4 linked regions of the Schizosaccharomyces pombe genome follow. The main gene of each other region encodes a partner of the protein of the gene in region 3 in a complex. Each region holds a gene or a part of one and is shown on either strand. Other genes may lie near its edges.

What was found.
Region 1: mrx14 (region 3) and mrp20 share a complex: the UniProt entries of both Schizosaccharomyces pombe proteins name them as parts of the mitochondrial large ribosomal subunit.
Region 2: mrx14 (region 3) and mrpl25 share a complex: the UniProt entries of both Schizosaccharomyces pombe proteins name them as parts of the mitochondrial large ribosomal subunit.
Region 4: mrx14 (region 3) and rtc6 share a complex: the UniProt entries of both Schizosaccharomyces pombe proteins name them as parts of the mitochondrial large ribosomal subunit.

The regions. Positions count from the first base shown.
Region 1 is NC_003424.3:399,930-405,061, reverse strand, and holds mrp20 (mitochondrial 54S ribosomal protein uL23m), read right to left. Parts: upstream 2,177-5,132; 5' UTR 2,003-2,176; coding exon 1,517-2,002; 3' UTR 1,250-1,516; downstream 1-1,249. Other genes in the region: AP-2 adaptor complex subunit Apm4, read left to right, coding at 1-1,249; ATP-dependent RNA helicase Dbp10, read left to right, coding at 2,868-3,090, 3,191-5,132. UniProt on the Schizosaccharomyces pombe protein: Component of the mitochondrial ribosome (mitoribosome), a dedicated translation machinery responsible for the synthesis of mitochondrial genome-encoded proteins, including at least some of the essential transmembrane subunits of the mitochondrial respiratory chain.
Region 2 is NC_003424.3:4,992,575-4,997,370, forward strand, and holds mrpl25 (mitochondrial 54S ribosomal protein mL59), read right to left. Parts: upstream 1,934-4,796; 5' UTR 1,871-1,933; coding exon 1,472-1,870; intron 1,361-1,471; coding exon 1,322-1,360; 3' UTR 1,050-1,321; downstream 1-1,049. Other genes in the region: lipin, phosphatidate phosphatase Ned1, read left to right, coding at 1-760; meiotic recombination protein Rec24, read right to left, coding at 3,456-4,189, 4,330-4,597. UniProt on the Schizosaccharomyces pombe protein: Component of the mitochondrial ribosome (mitoribosome), a dedicated translation machinery responsible for the synthesis of mitochondrial genome-encoded proteins, including at least some of the essential transmembrane subunits of the mitochondrial respiratory chain.
Region 3 is NC_003423.3:3,801,814-3,807,539, reverse strand, and holds mrx14 (mitochondrial 54S ribosomal protein bL34m), read left to right. Parts: upstream 1-2,511; 5' UTR 2,512-2,638; coding exon 2,639-2,965; 3' UTR 2,966-3,209; downstream 3,210-5,726. Other genes in the region: SPOM_SPBC21C3.06 (uncharacterized protein), read right to left, coding at 82-450; U2 snRNP-associated protein Sap62, read right to left, coding at 706-791, 855-1,296, 1,613-1,738; cqd1 (ABC1 kinase family protein ), read right to left, coding at 3,210-4,655, 4,711-5,343. UniProt on the Schizosaccharomyces pombe protein: Component of the mitochondrial ribosome (mitoribosome), a dedicated translation machinery responsible for the synthesis of mitochondrial genome-encoded proteins, including at least some of the essential transmembrane subunits of the mitochondrial respiratory chain.
Region 4 is NC_003423.3:1,518,089-1,522,458, reverse strand, and holds rtc6 (mitochondrial 54S ribosomal protein bL36m), read left to right. Parts: upstream 1-1,968; coding exon 1,969-2,247; 3' UTR 2,248-2,429; downstream 2,430-4,370. Other genes in the region: Lid2 complex histone demethylase H3-K36 subunit Jmj3, read right to left, coding at 1-1,015, 1,072-1,188; RNA-binding protein Yme2, read right to left, coding at 2,470-4,370. UniProt on the Schizosaccharomyces pombe protein: Component of the mitochondrial ribosome (mitoribosome), a dedicated translation machinery responsible for the synthesis of mitochondrial genome-encoded proteins, including at least some of the essential transmembrane subunits of the mitochondrial respiratory chain.

The sequences.
Region 1 (5,132 bases), on a different chromosome or scaffold from region 3:
TTTTCGCGTTGCTATTCTAACAAATACTGATTATCGGCACCCAATTGTCAGTATTGGATCAAGTACTTACATTTACACGAAACACGAGGATCTTTACGTGGTTGCCATTACCAAAGGAAATCCAAATGTTATGATTGTTTTGGAATTTTTGGAGAGTCTAATTCAAGATTTGACACATTATTTTGGGAAACTGAATGAAAATACAGTCAAAGACAATGTCTCCTTTATTTTCGAGTTGCTGGATGAAATGATAGACTATGGTATCATTCAGACTACTGAACCTGACGCACTTGCAAGATCTGTCAGCATAACAGCTGTCAAAAAGAAAGGCAATGCACTGTCCTTGAAAAGGTCTCATTCCTCTCAGTTGGCACACACCACTTCCTCTGAAATACCAGGGTCTGTACCATGGCGTAGAGCTGGCATTAAGTATAGAAAAAATAGTATCTACATTGATATTGTTGAAAGAATGAATTTACTTATTAGCTCTACTGGAAATGTGCTACGCTCAGATGTTTCTGGTGTCGTGAAAATGCGTGCAATGCTTTCTGGAATGCCTGAATGTCAGTTTGGGCTAAATGATAAGCTTGATTTTAAATTAAAACAATCAGAAAGCAAGTCTAAATCAAATAACTCTAGAAATCCGTCCTCAGTTAACGGAGGATTTGTCATTTTAGAAGATTGCCAGTTTCATCAATGTGTTAGATTGCCGGAATTTGAAAATGAACACAGAATTACTTTCATTCCGCCGGATGGTGAGGTTGAATTAATGAGTTATCGTTCACATGAAAACATAAATATTCCTTTTAGAATTGTTCCTATTGTCGAACAGTTGTCGAAACAAAAAATTATTTATCGTATCAGTATACGAGCAGACTATCCACACAAACTTTCTTCTTCTTTGAACTTTCGGATACCGGTTCCCACAAATGTGGTAAAAGCTAATCCTCGTGTAAATCGAGGAAAGGCAGGGTACGAGCCCTCTGAAAATATTATCAATTGGAAAATTCCCCGGTTTTTAGGCGAAACTGAACTTATTTTTTACGCTGAGGTAGAGTTATCTAATACAACTAACCAGCAAATATGGGCGAAGCCTCCAATATCCTTAGATTTCAATATTCTTATGTTTACCAGCTCCGGTCTACATGTGCAATACTTAAGGGTCAGTGAACCTTCTAATAGCAAATACAAAAGTATTAAATGGGTAAGGTACTCAACTAGGGCTGGAACTTGCGAGATACGCATTTAAGAAGTATTGTGATACAAAATTATTATTTTATTAATTGACGACCGTGCTTTTCCGACATGAAAAGAATTTCCAAAATAGTTTTAGAACATTTCAAAATGAAACAAGTGGCGTTGAAAGTTTAATAGATGAAAGAAGAGAGGTTATAATGAATGCAATTAAACACCATACCGCTTCGATGAGGCATTTGAGGCTATAATTATGCTTTTGTAGGCATTAATGAATAGACGGAAACCAAAATAAAACATTACCTGGGAAATGAAAAAAATACTAATACTTTTTCTTTAAAAGTCTAGCGATTTTCTGTTGTGATTCGAGTATCTGCTTATCTTGTAACTTACTTAACTCTTCGTTCACCCGTTTCATGTCAACTTGTTCAAGGACCTTTGGATACCTGCTCAGGGTTTTCACATTAGAACCATCAGGAAGTAATTCACCCTCCTGCCAATCTTTCAAATCATTTGGGGCATTTGGGTAAACGAAAGGTTCTTCCATCTCAACGATGACGCGTTTTTCAGATTGTGGTCTCTTAACCTGTCCTAGTTGATTTCTAAAAAGTTTGCCCTGATAAATTCTTGACTTAACTGATACGACTTTTAAATTGTACACATGTTGCAAATAATCGCGAACATCAAACTTGTTAACATGAAGAGGTACGCGAAATACTGCAAATTTAGGTTGAAGATTTAGTCCTCTGCATAACGTGAACGTTATATTTGGAAAGTACACTAATCTTTTCCCAGCAATTTTACTCATATTTACTATTGAGTTTCAACTTCAAGGCTAAAGCAACTTGTGCTAGTTATGCAAAAAAAGAGAAACAAATGGTTTTTCTCAACAGTAGATTTCAAGATGAATTTGATGTCAACGGCCTTAGGTAAACGATTAGTTATTAACCATTTGTTGGATTACGGAGTTCAAATGTTGTTTAGTACTAACGTGCTGAGAATCCGGTTGCTTTATTGCATCAAAGCTCAGTTGTATACTATTAACAAATAACGTCTCTGGTTGTATTATCCTAGAACGTAATATATGTAAGCTACGCAATTTGGTATCTGATTTAAGGATACGTAGAACTGCGGTGAGTTTTCCTTGTGATCTATTATATTGTAATACGCAAGTAGTATAAGTAGGAATTGGATATAGGTATTCTAATATATAGGATATATCGTTATCTATAGCTGAGATATCTTATAACTGAACTGAGGAATCAAATTCAGTTGTTCTCAATTTATAACATTTGAAATAACAAGGATTATAACTGATAGTCATCTTATCATAAATGATATTATATCCTTCTAGATAACTTATCATGTAAAGCTGATAGAGCAAATAGAACATTATGAACATGTGACATATAGTGATACACAACGTAGTATATCGTAGCGTAGTGTAGTATTGCTGACATATAAAGCAGCTTATTTCAAGTTCGTTATAGTTTATTAAAATACGTTGGATTACTTATTTTTAATATAAAGAAACGCAGCAGAACAATTGAAATGAGAATGTTAAATCAAACTTAAGAAGGCCCTTTTGATAGTTGTTATTCATACGGTAAATTTTCTTGCCAGCGACACTAGAGAACTAAAAAATCAACAAAAGTGCAGCTCACTCGTCTTAAATGTCCGGATTCCAGACGTCCGACGAGGTCGATATATCAAATTCTTTAAAAGCTTTTCCTGTTGATATTGCTACTGATAATCAAAAAGATAAGCACGAAAATGTTGGTGAAAATGTGAGCGATGAAGATGATGGTAATTATATTGCCTCGAAGCTTTTGGAGTCTAACAGGAGGACGAAGGGAAAAAAGGGGAATGGAAAGGCTTCTAATTTCCAATCGATGGGTATGTTAACTTCGTGATTACTTGCCATAAGGTCACTTTGCATTATGCTTCAAGACACTGTAATCTAAATTACTTTGATATTTTTCTAACTTAATTATAGGATTGAATCAAACTTTACTTCGAGCAATATTTAAGAAGGGTTTTAAAGCTCCTACGCCGATTCAGCGCAAAACGATTCCCCTTTTATTGGAAGGTCGTGATGTTGTAGGTATGGCACGTACTGGATCAGGTAAAACTGCAGCTTTTGTTATACCTATGATTGAGCATTTGAAGTCCACTCTAGCAAACTCTAATACTCGCGCCTTAATTCTCTCGCCAAATCGAGAACTTGCTCTTCAGACTGTGAAAGTCGTCAAAGACTTTTCTAAAGGTACGGATCTTCGATCTGTCGCTATCGTCGGTGGCGTCAGTCTAGAGGAGCAATTTAGTTTGCTATCCGGAAAACCCGATATTGTGGTCGCAACTCCTGGAAGATTTCTACATTTAAAGGTGGAAATGAAATTGGAGTTGAGTTCAATCGAGTATGTCGTTTTCGATGAGGCCGATAGACTTTTTGAAATGGGTTTTGCTGCTCAATTGACAGAGATTTTACATGCTTTGCCGACTTCTCGTCAAACTCTTCTCTTCTCTGCCACACTTCCACGTACTCTTGTTGATTTTGCAAAGGCTGGACTTCAAGACCCGGTTCTTGTACGCCTTGATGTAGAATCCAAGGTTTCCGCGGATCTACAAAGTGCCTTTTTTTCTGTTAAAACCGCTGAACGCGAAGCTGCTCTCTTATGTATACTACAAGATATCATTAAGCTTCCTCTAAAAGATAACGTGCGCCCAAGAGAAATAGGAAATGTCAATAATCCGAAGAAAAGAAAACGTGCATTAGAATTAGCGCTTAAAGGAAGTGAATCTGGATCACCAGATTCTACTCTAGTATTTGTTCCTACAAAACATCATGTCGAGTATGTTTCTGAGTTACTTGTTCAAGCAGGATATTCGGTTTCAAAAATTTACGGGTCTTTGGACCAAGAAGCGCGTCTCAATGAAATTAATAATTTTCGACTTGGAAAAACAAATTTACTAGTCGTTACAGACGTAGCTTCTCGTGGTATTGACATCCCATTACTTGCTAATGTTATTAATTATGATTTCCCTCCTCAACCAAAAGTTTTTGTTCACCGTGTAGGACGTACAGCTCGAGCAGGACGCACTGGCTGGGCGTATTCATTGGTTAGAGCAGAAGATGCTGGTTATTTATTAGACTTACAACTATTTTTAAACCGACCTTTAGTTACATCCTCGAAGCAGGTTAAAACTGACTCGGATTGTGATTTTACAAAACAGATTGTTTTGGGATCATTACCCCAAGAACTTGTTGCTGAGCTACTAGAATGGGTACAAAGAATAGTTTCGAGAGACGTTGAGCTACAGCAACTTTCCAACGTTGCTGCAAGGGGTGAGAAACTATATTTTCGCACAAGAGCTACTTGTAGTGCTGAGAGTGCTAAAAGAGCTAAGGAATTGGTTGATAGCAAGGGCTGGAGTTCCAACAATCCATTATTTGGAGATGTATCGGTAATTGAGGCCGAGGAGAAATATGCTGAATTGCTTTCAAAAGTTTCTTCTTATCGGCCATCAGAAACAGTATTTGAAATCGGTCAGCGTGGTCACTTAAAGACAGAAGCTGCAGAAATCATGCGGAAAAGAAGAAACAAAGTAAAACCAAAAGGAATAAAATCTGAAGTTGCATCTGATAAAATCACTGACAGTTCTCCTGGTAATATGTCAGAAGCTTCAGAGTCAGAGCTTGAAGAGGTATTTAAAAATCCTAAGGAGTTATCAAAAAAGAAGACAACTGATTTTAAAGATAAAGAGTATTATATGTCTCATTACGCTCCAAAGGAATCTATTCAAGAAACTGGCTATGCTATAAATTCTGGTGAAAATTTTACTACCGCAGCTCGTCATGCTATTCTCGATTTAACAAATGACGAAGGAATTGAACAATCAAGGAAGGGGGGACAACGTTGGGATCCAAAGAAAAAGAA
Region 2 (4,796 bases), on a different chromosome or scaffold from region 3:
TTGGACTCATGCTGGAGTTGCCAAATTGTATACCGATATCACTAACAACGGCTACAAAATTATGTATTTAACTAGTCGTTCGGTAGGCCAAGCCGATTCTACTCGACATTATCTCCGGAATATTGAACAGAACGGATACTCTCTACCCGATGGTCCTGTTATTTTATCACCTGATCGCACTATGGCTGCTCTTCATAGAGAAGTAATTTTAAGGAAGCCAGAAGTATTTAAAATGGCTTGTTTGCGTGATCTTTGTAATATTTTCGCCTTACCTGTTCCTCGAACACCATTTTACGCCGGCTTTGGCAATCGTATTACAGACGCAATATCTTATAACCATGTCAGAGTTCCACCAACTAGGATTTTTACCATTAATTCTGCTGGCGAAGTCCATATTGAACTGTTGCAGCGAAGCGGTCACCGAAGTAGTTATGTTTACATGAATGAGCTTGTCGATCATTTCTTCCCTCCCATCGAGGTTAGCACCCGAGATGAAGTCTCAAGCTTTACTGATGTGAATTTTTGGAGATCTCCTTTGCTTGAACTTAGCGATGAAGAAGAAGACGATACTAATAAAAGCACATCCAAGTCGCCCAAAACACCCAAAAATACGAAATTCGGATATCAAGAATTCGAGGGGATTGACGAGGAAGATGCTCAAGATTATTCTCCTAGTCCATTGATTAAGTCTTTCAATGAATTAATGTTTGAAGGTGAAGAAGATGAAGAAGGAGAAGAAGACGTTGAAAATGCTGTTTGAAGTTGCATTTTCCCAATTTCCGATGAAAAAAAAATTACTCGACTGTCCATCTTTTTTTTTAATGCCCCAAAATCTTAAAATCACTTTGACGAATTTCCGTCGGCTTTGAAATGCACTAATAAGCTTAGAAAGTTACATAAATCATATAATGACTTACTTACTCATTCACAAGTAATGAGTTTTGAGAAAGTGCTAAATATTTTTTTTATATTTAAATGCGCTCTTCCTAAAAATTAAAGATAACAAGATACTTCATAATGAAAAGTTACGAATAAATCACATTCTAAAATCCTAAGTCTGCAGATTCAAAACCTAATATTTAAATGTAATTTAACTATTAAAGTAGAATCATATTATTAGTAAAGATTACAAAAATGTATAGACTAGTATATTAGTCTTTTTATCATGCTGCACAATAAAAGACTTTTAGTAAACACATAATTGAGGTAATATAGCAGTAAATTTAAATGAATCTTTAAAAAAATTTAAGGAAGTCATAAACAAACAGGAATCAAAAGGTATTAACAGTATTACGTGAAACCCACTTTGCAGAAGAAGAATTTAGAAAGGAGAAGGTTTCGCTATTTTGCTAGCTTTTTGCTAAAAAGAGTGTTAATAAAGACAATTAAAAAAATAATAATAGTAAATTTTTCACAATCAAAATCAGTAGATAGAAATAAGAAAATCATGAAAGTACAACAGTTTACATACGCGCTCATTTTTAAATTTAGAAGTTTTCTTCAATGATTCCGAAAGTTTTAAACGCCTATTTTCCAAAATCTCATCCCTCTTTCGTTCACTAATTTTTCCTTTAGGATTCAGAAGACCTTTCAAAATATGGCGTGTAGAATCTTTCTGCCATGACATTTGTTGGGGGAGTAAATTATCCAGATTCTGAAGCCTGGCCTCTTTATATATTTCAGCTTGCCTTCTATTGGAATAGTAAGGGTTGATTACAAGGCCATTCTGAGGATTTCGAGTTGCGAGAAACGGATTTTGACGATTTGGATTTGTCGTCCATGCATTTGGATTTTCAGGCGGAAACTTTTTAAAAAAGTTTCCTAATTGGATAGGAAGCCGTTCCAAAGCTTCCTTGGTAAAGACTGGCATGATAAGGTTAAAACCTCTTTAATCTATAGAGAAGCTCAAAAAGACAGTGAGTCAAGCACTATTAGTATTAGAAAATACATTGACCTAAGATGTCGGCAAACGTTTAACTGCGCTATATTACGTTAAATCAATCATTACTGTTCATTCTTGAGTTCTTAATCGAAACTTTTCATCGTTTGAAATATTAAAAGAGTTTATTATCTCAGACAATTCTAAGCCAATTTATTGACTATTAGCGTTTATTAGGTCGGACTAATTCTTAGTTACTCAATTTAGTTCCAATGGATATACTAATTAATATAATATTACGGTGTAGCAGTACTATAGTTAATAAATACAAAATTATCCAGGGTATTATTTTATACAAATATAAAAATCACTAACATATTTCGTTATTATGTATATCGTTGTTAAATTAGCAACTATACAAACTCCTTAAAATATTTTACATACTGCGTAGATGGCTTCCTCTCGCATTAGTCCCTCTACCTTAGGCATCTTTGTTGGGTTGCGTTATTTAATTATTGAAGGCTGACAGTATGTGTGATTGTGTTCCGCCAACGTAGCATTCAAACGCTTTCAATCATTATCGTTTTTAGTTGTGATTGCTTCTATGATTCCATCAAATGAGGCCCGTTCAAGTAAGCTGTGTGTGGTTATAGAGTTTCTGATGCCAGTAAAATTATCATATCAGATCATGTACGGATTCCTACTGACACATGTTGAGAGTAAGCAAAAAAAGCTCAATCATGCTTATTTTGAGTATTTTAAAACATAAATAAAAGTAAAAATTATTGTAGGAAAAGTCCGGTCATCTCTCGATGACTCCAATTAGTGGAGAATATAAGAAATACTAAAGGAATTATTTATAATGACATGTAACGCAGTGTGACATAAAGTTAGTAGTGCATAGAACTGTTGGTGATATCAAGTTGACAAGGAATCGATAAGACGCTCTTTAATGTTGAATATTAATAAGCCCTGTAAGTATCCCTGTTCTTCTAGTTAGGTCTATAGCTGAAAAACCTTCAATTCTCTGGAGCTTGTGTGGTTTTATCCATTATCACTTCCTTCGATTTATCCCTCGTAAGGAATAGGATAGCAATGCGTATAGATCAAATCGCGGATTATGAATGAAGGCTTGTGCGATAAATTTCCTTTACTTGATCAATAATCTTGTTGTCAACGCGTTGTATTAAATGCGCTTTATTGGAAAAGAAGAAACATAGCTTGTTGATTGAAATTCCAAAGTTTCTTGTAAACGAATTTGGAAAGCACTTCTGTACTTGAAAATAATACAAATTGGCCACTATATATTCGCTTTTTTTGTTCCTTTGTTTCTTTTATCCATCAATTTTTAAAAGCAGAAAACCTTTCCCTTATGCCCAAGATTTAAAAGGGAACATAATATCAAAGTTCATCGAATGGATATGATGATCAACACTTTCACCACAACGTTCTTTGTACATTGAATTTCCAGAAAAATTCCACCAAATGTTGTGAATATTTTAGGATAACAAAAGGAGTCAAATTGGAAAGGCAAGAAATGAATGTGTGTTAAATAGTGGCCCTCAATATATTACTATTAGGAAATGTCTTCGGGAAATAGCATATCTTTGAGGCCAATCAAAAGGATGGATGGAGCAGAGTAGGCACTCTTAGACAACTCTTGTTTATCAGTTTGTAATTCTTCATTTGTGATTATGTCTCTTAAGATTTGGACACATTTGCTTGCGGCAGATGAAAGCTGAGCATCGAAGGAGTGTAGACAAGGGAAGTATATCTCAGCGTACGAAAAAAAACATTCACTATATAACAACCGGATAGATGGGTTATCGTTTTTGCAATATGTGAAGCATATTTTCATCCGTTTAACAATTTGATCTAGTAATTTTTCCAATTGCTCTACGGAAGCGAATGAGAGCTTGTTAAATATCAGTTGCTCCAAAAATACGTAAAATTCCAAAAATTTCGCTCTGGAAATCACTCCAGTTCCATTGTTGGCATTGTTTTGCATAATCGACTGCGTGATTATAATGAGATCCAGTACATAATCTCCCAATTCAACTAGTCTTGTTAAAACCAACGGCGACTTACAATCTCTTTTAAGAAACATAAAAATTTCTTCGAATAAAGTTTTAATGCGCAAAAAATCCGCACCCTCGTATACTTTTGTTTGCTTCAACTTTATGTCAGCAGTGCATTTTAAGAATCGAAAAAGTCCATTAAACGTGTACTCAATATCCAGATGCGCAAGGCTTCCGGATGTTTGCCTCTTTTCCTGAAGATTCTCGTGAACATTGGTCAGCAAAAAGATATCTAGATTGGATTGTTAACGAAAGAAAATTCATACTATTTTAGATCAAAAAGGCTTTCTTTAATATAACTAATGCTTTAGATATAAGAAGATATACCGGCCTAGTATTGATGGATTTAATAAGCATCGTGCAAGTACTTACCCATATCCTCGATTTTTTTAGAGAACGGTTTGGCTTTTAAAGCCACACACTCTGTAACATTACTATTTTTCAAAACAACATCTTTTTTCGTCTTTGGGCGCGGTTCCAATAATGTTGACGCGTATTTTTCGCAATGTTCCTGATCCTCAATTCCTTTCCGCAATGCTTCTATGTAGTCTTTGATATTTTTTCCTTTCGGTTTTTTTAAAATTATCTTCCATGCTATTGCTATTTTCAGTGTCTCTCCCGACGAATCGTACGTGTACATTGTCTGTATGAGTATTTGTTTACTATTGTCTTCAGTATTTGTGCCATTCATTACAGTTTACGATGCTTTGTACTGCACTATGTAATTTGGTTTGTTTACATCTCGTCGCGACGAACCCACTTAAATACCAACATCTACATGACTCTTTACAAAACCAAAATTACATATTAATCACTGTGAATAATATTTAATACCGCTT
Region 3 (5,726 bases):
ATGACTTGACTGAAAGAGGGAAGCCGTGTACATTTTAAAAAGTGTAAAATAAACACGTAATTACTTTTTATAGTATACAATTTAAGTGATACTAATTTTGTGATTAGGAAAGCTGGTAATGTCATCCTTAACTGGCTTTGCTCTTGCAAAACTAAGCTTTTCTCGAGCATAAAGACCAAATTCTTTTATATTTTCAACACCAATTGTTCGCATTATCAAACAGGAAGCGAAGGTAAAGGTTGAAACAGTTAATACTGATGTAAATGAAAACAATTTCCAAGTAATCAAAGTTGGATGCACCATTTTCTCAACAACTGGGTTTGGAGAAAAAAAATTAGGCCGTTTTAATATTGTCCGTTGTAGAACCCATGTAGACCAAAGGAAAGTTGAGCTAGATATCGCAAAAATCGCGTCCACTGTAGCGACATTTGCTAATTTATCGAACGCCATACAGTAGAAGTTAGCCAACTTTATCAATTGGTACTTCCACAAATCTGGGAAAATAAGTATATAAATCACCAAAATAGGTTTAGCTAGCACGGTTCTTCTACAATTCACGTGTGGAGAAACAATTCAGAATGATTGAGTTCGAATTCTTTTACACACATAAAGAACTGCGGTATTGATAAATTGGGAGACTGAGCGAAATATTTGGAAAAGACATTTTGTTTCATAAAAAGGAAATTTAGGATAGCAGCTCAAAATTTACGATATTTTTGTTAAGTTGTAAAAGAATTGGATAGTATATGTAGGTGCATCCCAATAACTCCAAAATTTCCCGGGTGCACGATCTATTTCGTGAGCATCTGCGCAACAAAGTTAATATAAATAAAAAATCAGTAAAACCAACATACCAATTTTAAAGGCTATTGATTCGTATGGTTCAGCAGCCACTACCAGATACTGAAACTTTCGGTCAGGAGCTTCAACACGCTGTTCATAAGCACTCATAATTCTGTATCTTGGCTTAGCGTTCACTTCAATATCTGGATACTTTATTTGGAAACGTAGGCCAAATTTTCCGCTTTCGGCTTCTCTTATTTTGGACACTTTATAACCGGGTCGACCAATTTTTACGACACTTTTTTTAACCTGGACATGGGATTGAGAAATGCCCAACAACACTTGTGGTGCATTCTCTTGAGACTTTTTATTTTCGAGAGCCTGTCTCCTGGCTAAATTTGTCTGGTGTTTTTTACCTTGTGTATGGGTAAGGTAAGAGTTTTCATTCGCATGTGTAGTGAGGCAAAGACGACATTCAAAAGTGCCTAAATGATTTTTCATCAAATATGGATCCTATAAGAGATTAGCAATAGAAATATCATCGCAAAGAGTTTGAGGAGGAAGCTTCAAGGTGATTGACAGGGTAAAAAAAAGATGTCCAATTAGTGTAACATGCAAAACAGCAAACAAGGAAGTAGAAAGCAAATCCTTTTCATTTATTATTGTTGTTATTTTAGTTGTTATAGTTAGCGAATTTAACAGCAACTACTAATAAACTTCAATAATATGTAACATACGTACATGTCTTACTTTACACGATTAATTCATCGGTAATTATAATTGACATTCAGCACTCAAATTTTCAGAATTCAGTGGTTTTTAAACATACCTTTGATAAATCAATGGTTTCTAGCGCCAATTTACGAAGACGCTCTCTACGTGCAGCATTTGTTTCTTGATAGCCAGCAACGCCTCCTCCTCCAAAACGAACACCTGCGCGGTTTTGATAATCCATTTTTTAGTTCCTAGAAAATCCAACACTTATTTTTCTGTACTTTCACAATGACAATAAAGTCCCCTAAAAGACGGTGGCAGAGGCTGTACTTTCGTGAACCCCTATGTTTAAAGAAATATCGCAATGCAGAACAATACGCTAAATTCTCATCGTCGATGCCTTTTTTTTAACAAATATTTTAAATAGCAGATTAGAGCTCCTTTTCTCCATTTTATTATGTCACGTAAAAACAAAAAAAAATAATAACTTTTGATAAATTTAATGTATTGATGCTCCCATATATGAGTATATTTAATATGCTTTCAATATTTAAAAAGCCGGGACTGCAGCAATTTGCTTCCAATTTAAAATACTGGGTATTATTAATAAAATAAAATAGATAAAAGAAAGTATAAGATGTCATTTAACTGCTAAAACCTTTTTTGTACTATAAATTATCACTTTTAGCCCATGAATCGAATTCATTAAACTGATGGATTTTACTATTTGGTAATCTCATGCCAATTATTTGTTGGGAAAAAGCAAAAGCGATATCAAATTTTAGGGGTTCAGGTTGCTTTCTTTAAGGGCGTATAAAGAATGGTTAATGAACTATTTATTAATAATAATAGTATTATTATTATATTACCGACATTCCAGTGAATTGAATGAAACTATTAAAACGTAGTTATTGGATTTTAGCAAAGATTTTAATTTATTGTAACACAAATATTTGAAATTTAACACTTCGAATGTCAAACGGTGCTACACTGATTCACTTCAACCTTTCTAATAACCAGCTACTCCATCACATCTCAAATCTCTTCATTTTGCACATTTACGTTCATATATAATTTTTATATTATTTTTTGAAATTTTTTCTCTTGAAATCCAGTCACCTGCTTTCATTCCTATTGCTTTATGATGTTTATGCAACAATTTCGAAATTTGTTGCATCCTGCCATGAAGGGAGCCAGGAATATTTCAATATTAGCTGGAGGAGGAACTATGAGAGGGTTTCCGACAAGAAACCCTTTTAATACCGCTACTTTATACAGTTCTTTACCGACTATGAACATCTTCGGTCAAATGCAGCAAGTGCGTTGGAAAACGTATGGAAACGAGTATCAACCCTCAAATAGAAAGCGTAAAAGAAAACACGGATTTTTATCTCGAATTCGTTCTGTTAACGGTCGTCGTGTTTTACGAGATCGAAGACAAAAAGGGAGGATGTATCTGAGCCATTGAGTACATATTATCTTTTAATGGGCTCTAATTTGCATTAGTAACCTCTATCAATTCTTCATTTAAGTAATGCTTTCTAGTTTGTGATACATTTTCTTTCCATTGGTTCTTTGTTTAATTTTACTTGTTGAACTTTGAACTTTAATAACTTCTTTAAAACACGAGTTTATAAAATTTATTTTCCATGTCTGCGACTATATTTTTCATGAACAATTTTCCATCATTTATAAAATAAACCGTAATTTTTTTATATATTGGGTGCGATCATATCGGACTTAACCCACTTTTCTACCGTTTCTTTAGAGGTGCTTAAAAGCAAAAATTGTCTAGCTTCTAAAGCTATCCATAATTGAACCATTGGGTTTGTGAGTGAGACATTGGATTTCGATGAAGCAGAACGAAGATATGGTGTAGCATTACTTAATAGATCCATTTCTGGATATAGTTGGCGTCCAGCGCCTTCAACTAAAAGGATAGATAGCACAGTATTTGCGAAATTTGCTTCAATTCGAACATGATGCTCTCTCGCCATAGTCATTACTTCTTGTAATATAGTTCCTATTTGAAGTGATTTCAGTGAAAGCGTGCTCTTTTGAATTTCATTCAACAAATGTTCCATTTTAAGAGCAAATATGTCTTTGTTTATAACGCGTTCTGTCTGCCTGCTCCTTTCAACCATCAACAGTCCAGCCTCATAGCCATGGAAAGTAAGTACGGCTTGAAACAGATCCAAAAAATTTTTCTGATCCTGCGTACTAAGTTTCGTTACTAATCCAGCATCCAAAAATACTAAAGTCGGTCGATAGCCCAAGATGTTTAATTCTTCCATAGCAGAATCCCATTCCTCCGTCGAACATGTACTTAGAATTTTATAAATTGAGTCATTAATCTCATTATCTTGATTAAAGATTGTTTTAGGGATTCCTTTGTAAAATTTAACAAGGACATTACCCGGATGAAGATCAGCATGTGTAAAGTTGTCAACAATAAGCATTTGAAATAATGCATTATTTCCTGTGTTAGCTAACAACTTGTTAAATGGTCCTGACTTATGTTTGAGGAACGCGCTTAATGGGATACCCGGCATATAGTCTTCTAGTAGGATTTGATTAGTCGTGTAATCATCATAGGGAGCTGGAAATTCAACATATCTATTTCCTCTAAAGTTAAGACGGAACTGGTTGAGATGAAGCGCCTCATAATGTAAATTCAATTGCTGGTTTAACATTGCCCCAAATACCTTAACTTCGTCGGGCAGAGAAAGCCACTTCATTGAAGGTACCAAATTAATTAATTTTGCGAAGAAACCTAAGATTTGTAAGTCTAAAGAAATGTATTTTTCAACATTCGGGTGCAAAACTTTAATGGCTACATCTTGAGTCACTGGCGCATCAGAGATATTTTTCTGTCGAAACCCTATAGATTGTAGCATACTTGTAAAGTAGGAATTATCTTGCTGCGTAGCTGCTTTCTTGATGGTAGCCGTATAGACTTGAGCAATTGCTCCAACACCTATAGGTATTGGGTTAAAATTAACAAAAATTTCCTCGATAGATTCCACTTTATAAGTCTTGCAGATGACTGATTGAGTATAGGCAAGGCTGTGGGGCGTTACATGTGAATGTAATTTGGACAGTGTTTTACAGAAAGCAGGAGGAAACAAATCTGTCCGTGAAGCAGCCCATTGTCCCAACTGCAAAATAAAAAAATAATGTTAGTAACATGATAAGCGTAAATTCAAAACGTACCTTGATAAACGTTGCTCCTGCTCTTTCTAATTGAGTAACGAGGAAACGAAGCCAAATGGATACGGTTAAAGACGACAAAGATCGAAGATGCAGGAAAGAAATAAGAGCGATAAACGGTAAGGTAATAATAATTGGAGAGAAAATAATAAATAAATTAAATGACCTGAGGAGAATATTAAAAAATTGTTTTATTTTTCCAAAAATAGAACGAGGTCGATTGCTTCTCTCTTCTAATTCAAGTTCGTCAAAGGAGAAAATATTATTCTTTCGATTTTTGACTCTGTATAAAATCCATAATCCTCCGACCGTAAAAGGGAGGACAAGAAATGTAATCCTTAGTATCCTCCATTGCTTCTGGTCTTCACTTTTTTGTCGGGTTGTAAACTTTCTTGCAAATATAGGTTTGGGGAATAAAGATATATGCTTCAATCGATTAACCAGTACGTGCTTTTTTTTGTATGGTGACCAAACTGACTGTGTCCCGCATAACCTTTTCCATCTTGTGTTCTGCGAGTTAACGACAGGAATATAATTTCTTTGAATAATGAAAGCAAAACGAGAGTTTGCAGAAGGAATCATGCTTAGACTAAGTCCCGAACGTATGTGAGAATTCCAGTGAGAAAAACTAATCATGTTCACCAATTATTGACTTTCAGAAGAGCATTTCCTTATCAAGAATCAAAAAAATAAATAAACTAATTACAATGGGTATTTTCGATTGAAAACACTGGCAAACCTGATAAAGAAAATAGGAATTGTTCAATAAATGTGTATAGCAGCTACTAAAAGAGGTGTTTCAAAGAATTTAGGAAACCCTGTCAACCTTTAATATCTTGAAAATAAAGAATGCACCAGTTCAAAAATATTGCTCAAATTTACGTGTCACTAGTGTCTATTGGTGTCAACGTCGAATGACGCTGTCTACTTGTGACTGGGAGAAAGAAAAATAATAATTGTTAGCCAAAATGAAGACTGTAATAATAATCAATTCTTTCATTTTATAAATAAAATATTGA
Region 4 (4,370 bases), 2.3 Mb from region 3:
CACTATCATGGATGTTGGATTCGGGTAAATCATGCAAGTAAAACTCATCCAGGAACTTTTGAGAACAAGCACGTTGAGGCTTATGCGAATGTGGCCATAAAGATTTAGAGGAATAAAGGGATTCTGAAACCATAAGTCTTCGTAAATTAGAAAATTCATAGTTGGAAGCAGATCTTGGTGAACGAAAGACAAAACGTCGTAAAACAGCGTCTCCTAGACAAAATGCACTATGATGTGTGCCTGGAAAGGTTATAAGCAGTTCATCCTGTTTAAGGACTGTTGAATAAGTAACAATACCATTTTGTACTAGAGTTGAAGGGGGAAACAAAATATTCTGGTGAAGCAAAAAATCTGAACAACGCCAATGCTCATCTTGCGCAAGCTTTCCAGCTAATTTTTTAAAAGACTCACTATGTGCTGAAGGTATCACATACCATTGCAATGAAGAGCCACCTAAATGTACCTGAACTGCATGCAGCTCAGGAGATTCTACCCGCCAAGGAAGGGTAGTTTTCCATTTCCCAGCAAATAAGTGACCAACATTTGGCCAAGTGTTAATCAATGTATTCGATCTTAAATGTACCCTATCTTTTTGAGCAGCAGATATCGAAGGTATAAAATAGAAGGGGATCGATGGGCGATTAGTATATCCATACCACAGACTGTCATGGGTCAAAGAACGCCAATAATATGCAATAGCTTTAGCCACATTGTTTTCAAAGTCATTAGAACTTCCAGCGTTTGAAGGAAACCTGTCGTCGACATTCATATCGGTAGGCTTTTTAGGACCAGCCGAGCCATGGTCTATATCGCTTTGAATCTCGAAGTACTCTCCTTTCCGTCTCACCATTCGCTCTAACCATAAATCCATTTTTACATCGGAAGGTTTCATTGTATCTTCGTTCCAAGGATTTAAAACAGAACTAGGACGAACAACTTTAATTGCGCCGTATTTCTTGCCAAGCCTTTCAACGCGCCGAATAAAACTTTCCATATCTACAAATTCTGAAATTTTCTAAACAAATTTTGTTAACATCCACAAAATATTTAATATTTTTCGCGTAAACTTACTGGTTCCACAACAGGTATGCCATCTGACCCTTCGATATGATAATCGATTTCACACTCCAAAGAACTCACTGATGTGTCACTTTTGCCAGCATGTTTCTCTTTAACATTTTGCTGCATAGCAATCTATTTTTCAGCCTTTGGATTGAATATTTTGGTGTTTTTGAGACATCCACCAATTCGTGGGATTTGCTAAATTTTCCTTTAACAATCTTTTACCAAGGCAAATGACGCATCTGCACTCCAGTTCCATACCCAAATTAGCAAAGTATAACGAACTCGTTATACCAGCAACTAAAAACATAAACAAATTCTCAAAAATTGATCATTTCAAATTAATCGATTAGCATGCCAAACCAAATAACGTAGAATCAAAGTTATTAGATGATGCGGTCAATTAGCTATTTTAGGGACTAAGAAGGTCAGAGACTCAACATTAAAATTTTCATTTGTAAACAAAAAATGGAGCTACACTGTTGAGTTGACTCCACTTTAATAAAAGTATTCCTTATTTTAAAATAATGTGATAAATTTCAGGTCAAATTGCTCCACAGTAAGCTGGCTATTGAATTTATAGAATAACAAGACATGTTGGTTGTCACTAACTGACATGTCGTAGGTTAGCTTACTAGAAGCACTAACTACTATTTATTTTCCCAACAAAGAATATCCAACAAATCGGGCGTAAGCGAGTTTATATAACTTAGTATTCACCTTTTTTTTTTATGAAAATCTTCTCTTGTTGATAGGCATTTTCTATTATCGTTCTTTTTTGGCTCAGTCCAAATTGTGAACACTTTTCCATCGTACATCATTTATTTAGCTCAGAATTACTTCGGATCCAAAAAAATTTAAACATCTTGACTTGAAGTCCCAGTTTCACTTTTTTTTTAACTTATAATGGCTTCATTAGGTCGTAAATTTTTTGCTGTGGGTGTTTTGTCACGAGTCTTCCCTTCTGCTTTTAATGCACAAAAAGGGTTGTTAAAAAATGCATCTATGTTCTTAACCCCTGCTTTCAGACTTTCTCCTAGCCTTCTACCTTGGAACTTTTCAAGAGGTTTCAAAGTGAAAGCATCAGTAAAAAAGCGTTGTTCATCCTGCTATTTTGTGCGTCGCAAAGGTAGGTTGTATGTACTATGCAAAAAACATCCGAGACATAAAACCCGTCAAGGTTAATGACTATAACCGGTTTCGCTTCTTCTTTTTTTTTCTACCTAGGCTAATTCTTCATTACGCTCACTTCATATTACGACGATTTTTGGACTACCTACCAAATCCTTACTCCCTTCTCTCTCGTTAATGCGTAGTCATTAAATGTGATATTATTGTTGACATTATAGCTTCATGCTAAAGAATTCATAAAAACATACGTAATCTTAAATGATATGCTTTCGCATCTTAGTCGATTTTTTTCAAAGCCTCAGTAAGCCTTTCTATACTTTTCTCATTATCAGTAATAACACCTTGATTTTTCTGGATACGCGTCGTTAAGTAATGAGCACGATCCTTCACACCTGATTCAAGGTTCCCAAGGTCCTTTAGCATTTGTAGCTCCTGTTCATCATTCTTGATAGCATTGTTAGCCATGCCAATTAACGCGTTACATCTCACCAACTGCATATTAGCACTTAATACTGGATCATTTACAAGTTGCCGGAAAGCCGTAACATATACAGGTTTTCCAGCGTAGACTTTATCCGGTCTTGCATTCACTGTGGTAATAGTAATCAATTCTGATTCTTCCAAGGCACGAACGGCATCGTCGTGTCCTTTGAACAGTGGGTCAAGCATCAACATATGATAGGGTATATATTCATGTTGAGATAAATAAGTAATTAAGGTCCATGACTCTTCTGGAGTGAACGTTGGCTTCTCCTCACTGGTTAAAGAAGCAGGCCGTAAAAATGTTTGCAAAATATCAGAGGCATTTTGACTTACAATACCGCCAATTGCTTCAGAAACACTGGAAGAATTAACCCGCAACCTACGAGCTACATAATCAAGATCACGAAGTCGGCCACCAATCTTCGGTAATTGGACCCGCAATTCTTTCCTCAATTCTTCTGTTTGCATCTCTTCGGGTAAAGACTCTATGACATATCGCTGAGCAAGTACAGGGTCAGCATCTCCTAATAACAATGTTCTATTTTCCCAACCGTTGACATATTGCTCTAATGACTTGGTGCCTCCAACATCGGGTGTTAGCATTAGTACATGAGCAATTCCTTCCTTTACCAAATTACCAGCCCATTCAGCAACCACTCTCTGCATCGGGTTTGATAATTTACGAAGCTGGAAATTGTCGAGAATAACAACAGGTAAGCGATCTGCATGAACTTCTAAAAACTCAGATTCATCCAACACACTAGTATCGGCTTCTTTATGCTCTCGTAATGCTAGAGAACGCAATACCGTTTGTGTTGTGTTAAGAATTTGCCGCACTTGTCCTTCACTAGAAGAAACAATTCCCGTTTTTTGTCCTATGAGACCTTGTGCAGCCATATCGATAAGTGACGATATGTTGTTTAGGAAGCTAAAGAGGGGGAAATACCCCGTTTGGCTAGCAAGAGTACTTACGAACATTTCCGTATTAGTAGTGGAGAATAAGCGATCACAGTCGAAAAACAAAACATTTTTTCGTTCTTTAACAACTCGATCTACCAGATCACGCTTACCACTACCACGAGGACCTTGAACAACAATAAAAGAATGTAATGCTTCATCCAACCATTCTTTCAACTGTTCACAATCCTTTTCACGTGTTGTCCAAATCGGTGCCTTTATATTTGTACCATTTTCGTGAAAGGGACTCAAAACTATATCGCGAGTTTTCTTTTTGACCCACCCAACAACATTGATATTTCTCAACTTCTGACCATGTACAATGTTTGTCTCGACAAAGAACTTTCTTATCGGATCGAATAAAGAAGCCGTTAAAACTGTAATAGCCGCCGCAACCAAAGGAATAGTAAAACGAGGATGAGAGAATAACCAGTCTTTGAAGGCGACAAAGCGGTTCATATGTCTGTATCGCATGTGGAATTCTGTTTTCCCATAAACAAAACCATGCATACAGTTTAAAGCTGACGTAGCGGACCTTAGCGATGAAAAACTCAAAGTAGCAGAAGTAGGTGAATTAATGGTCACGGATCTTAGTTTTCCATATGTCCTAAAAATACTATACAATCTTTCCTGGGAAAGGGGCGGACCTTCGAAATTCACATCTACTGTACGAGATGGAAATATATATAAATCTTGAAGCCAAGGAATACCATGTACCATGTGTGGAATCGGGGTAG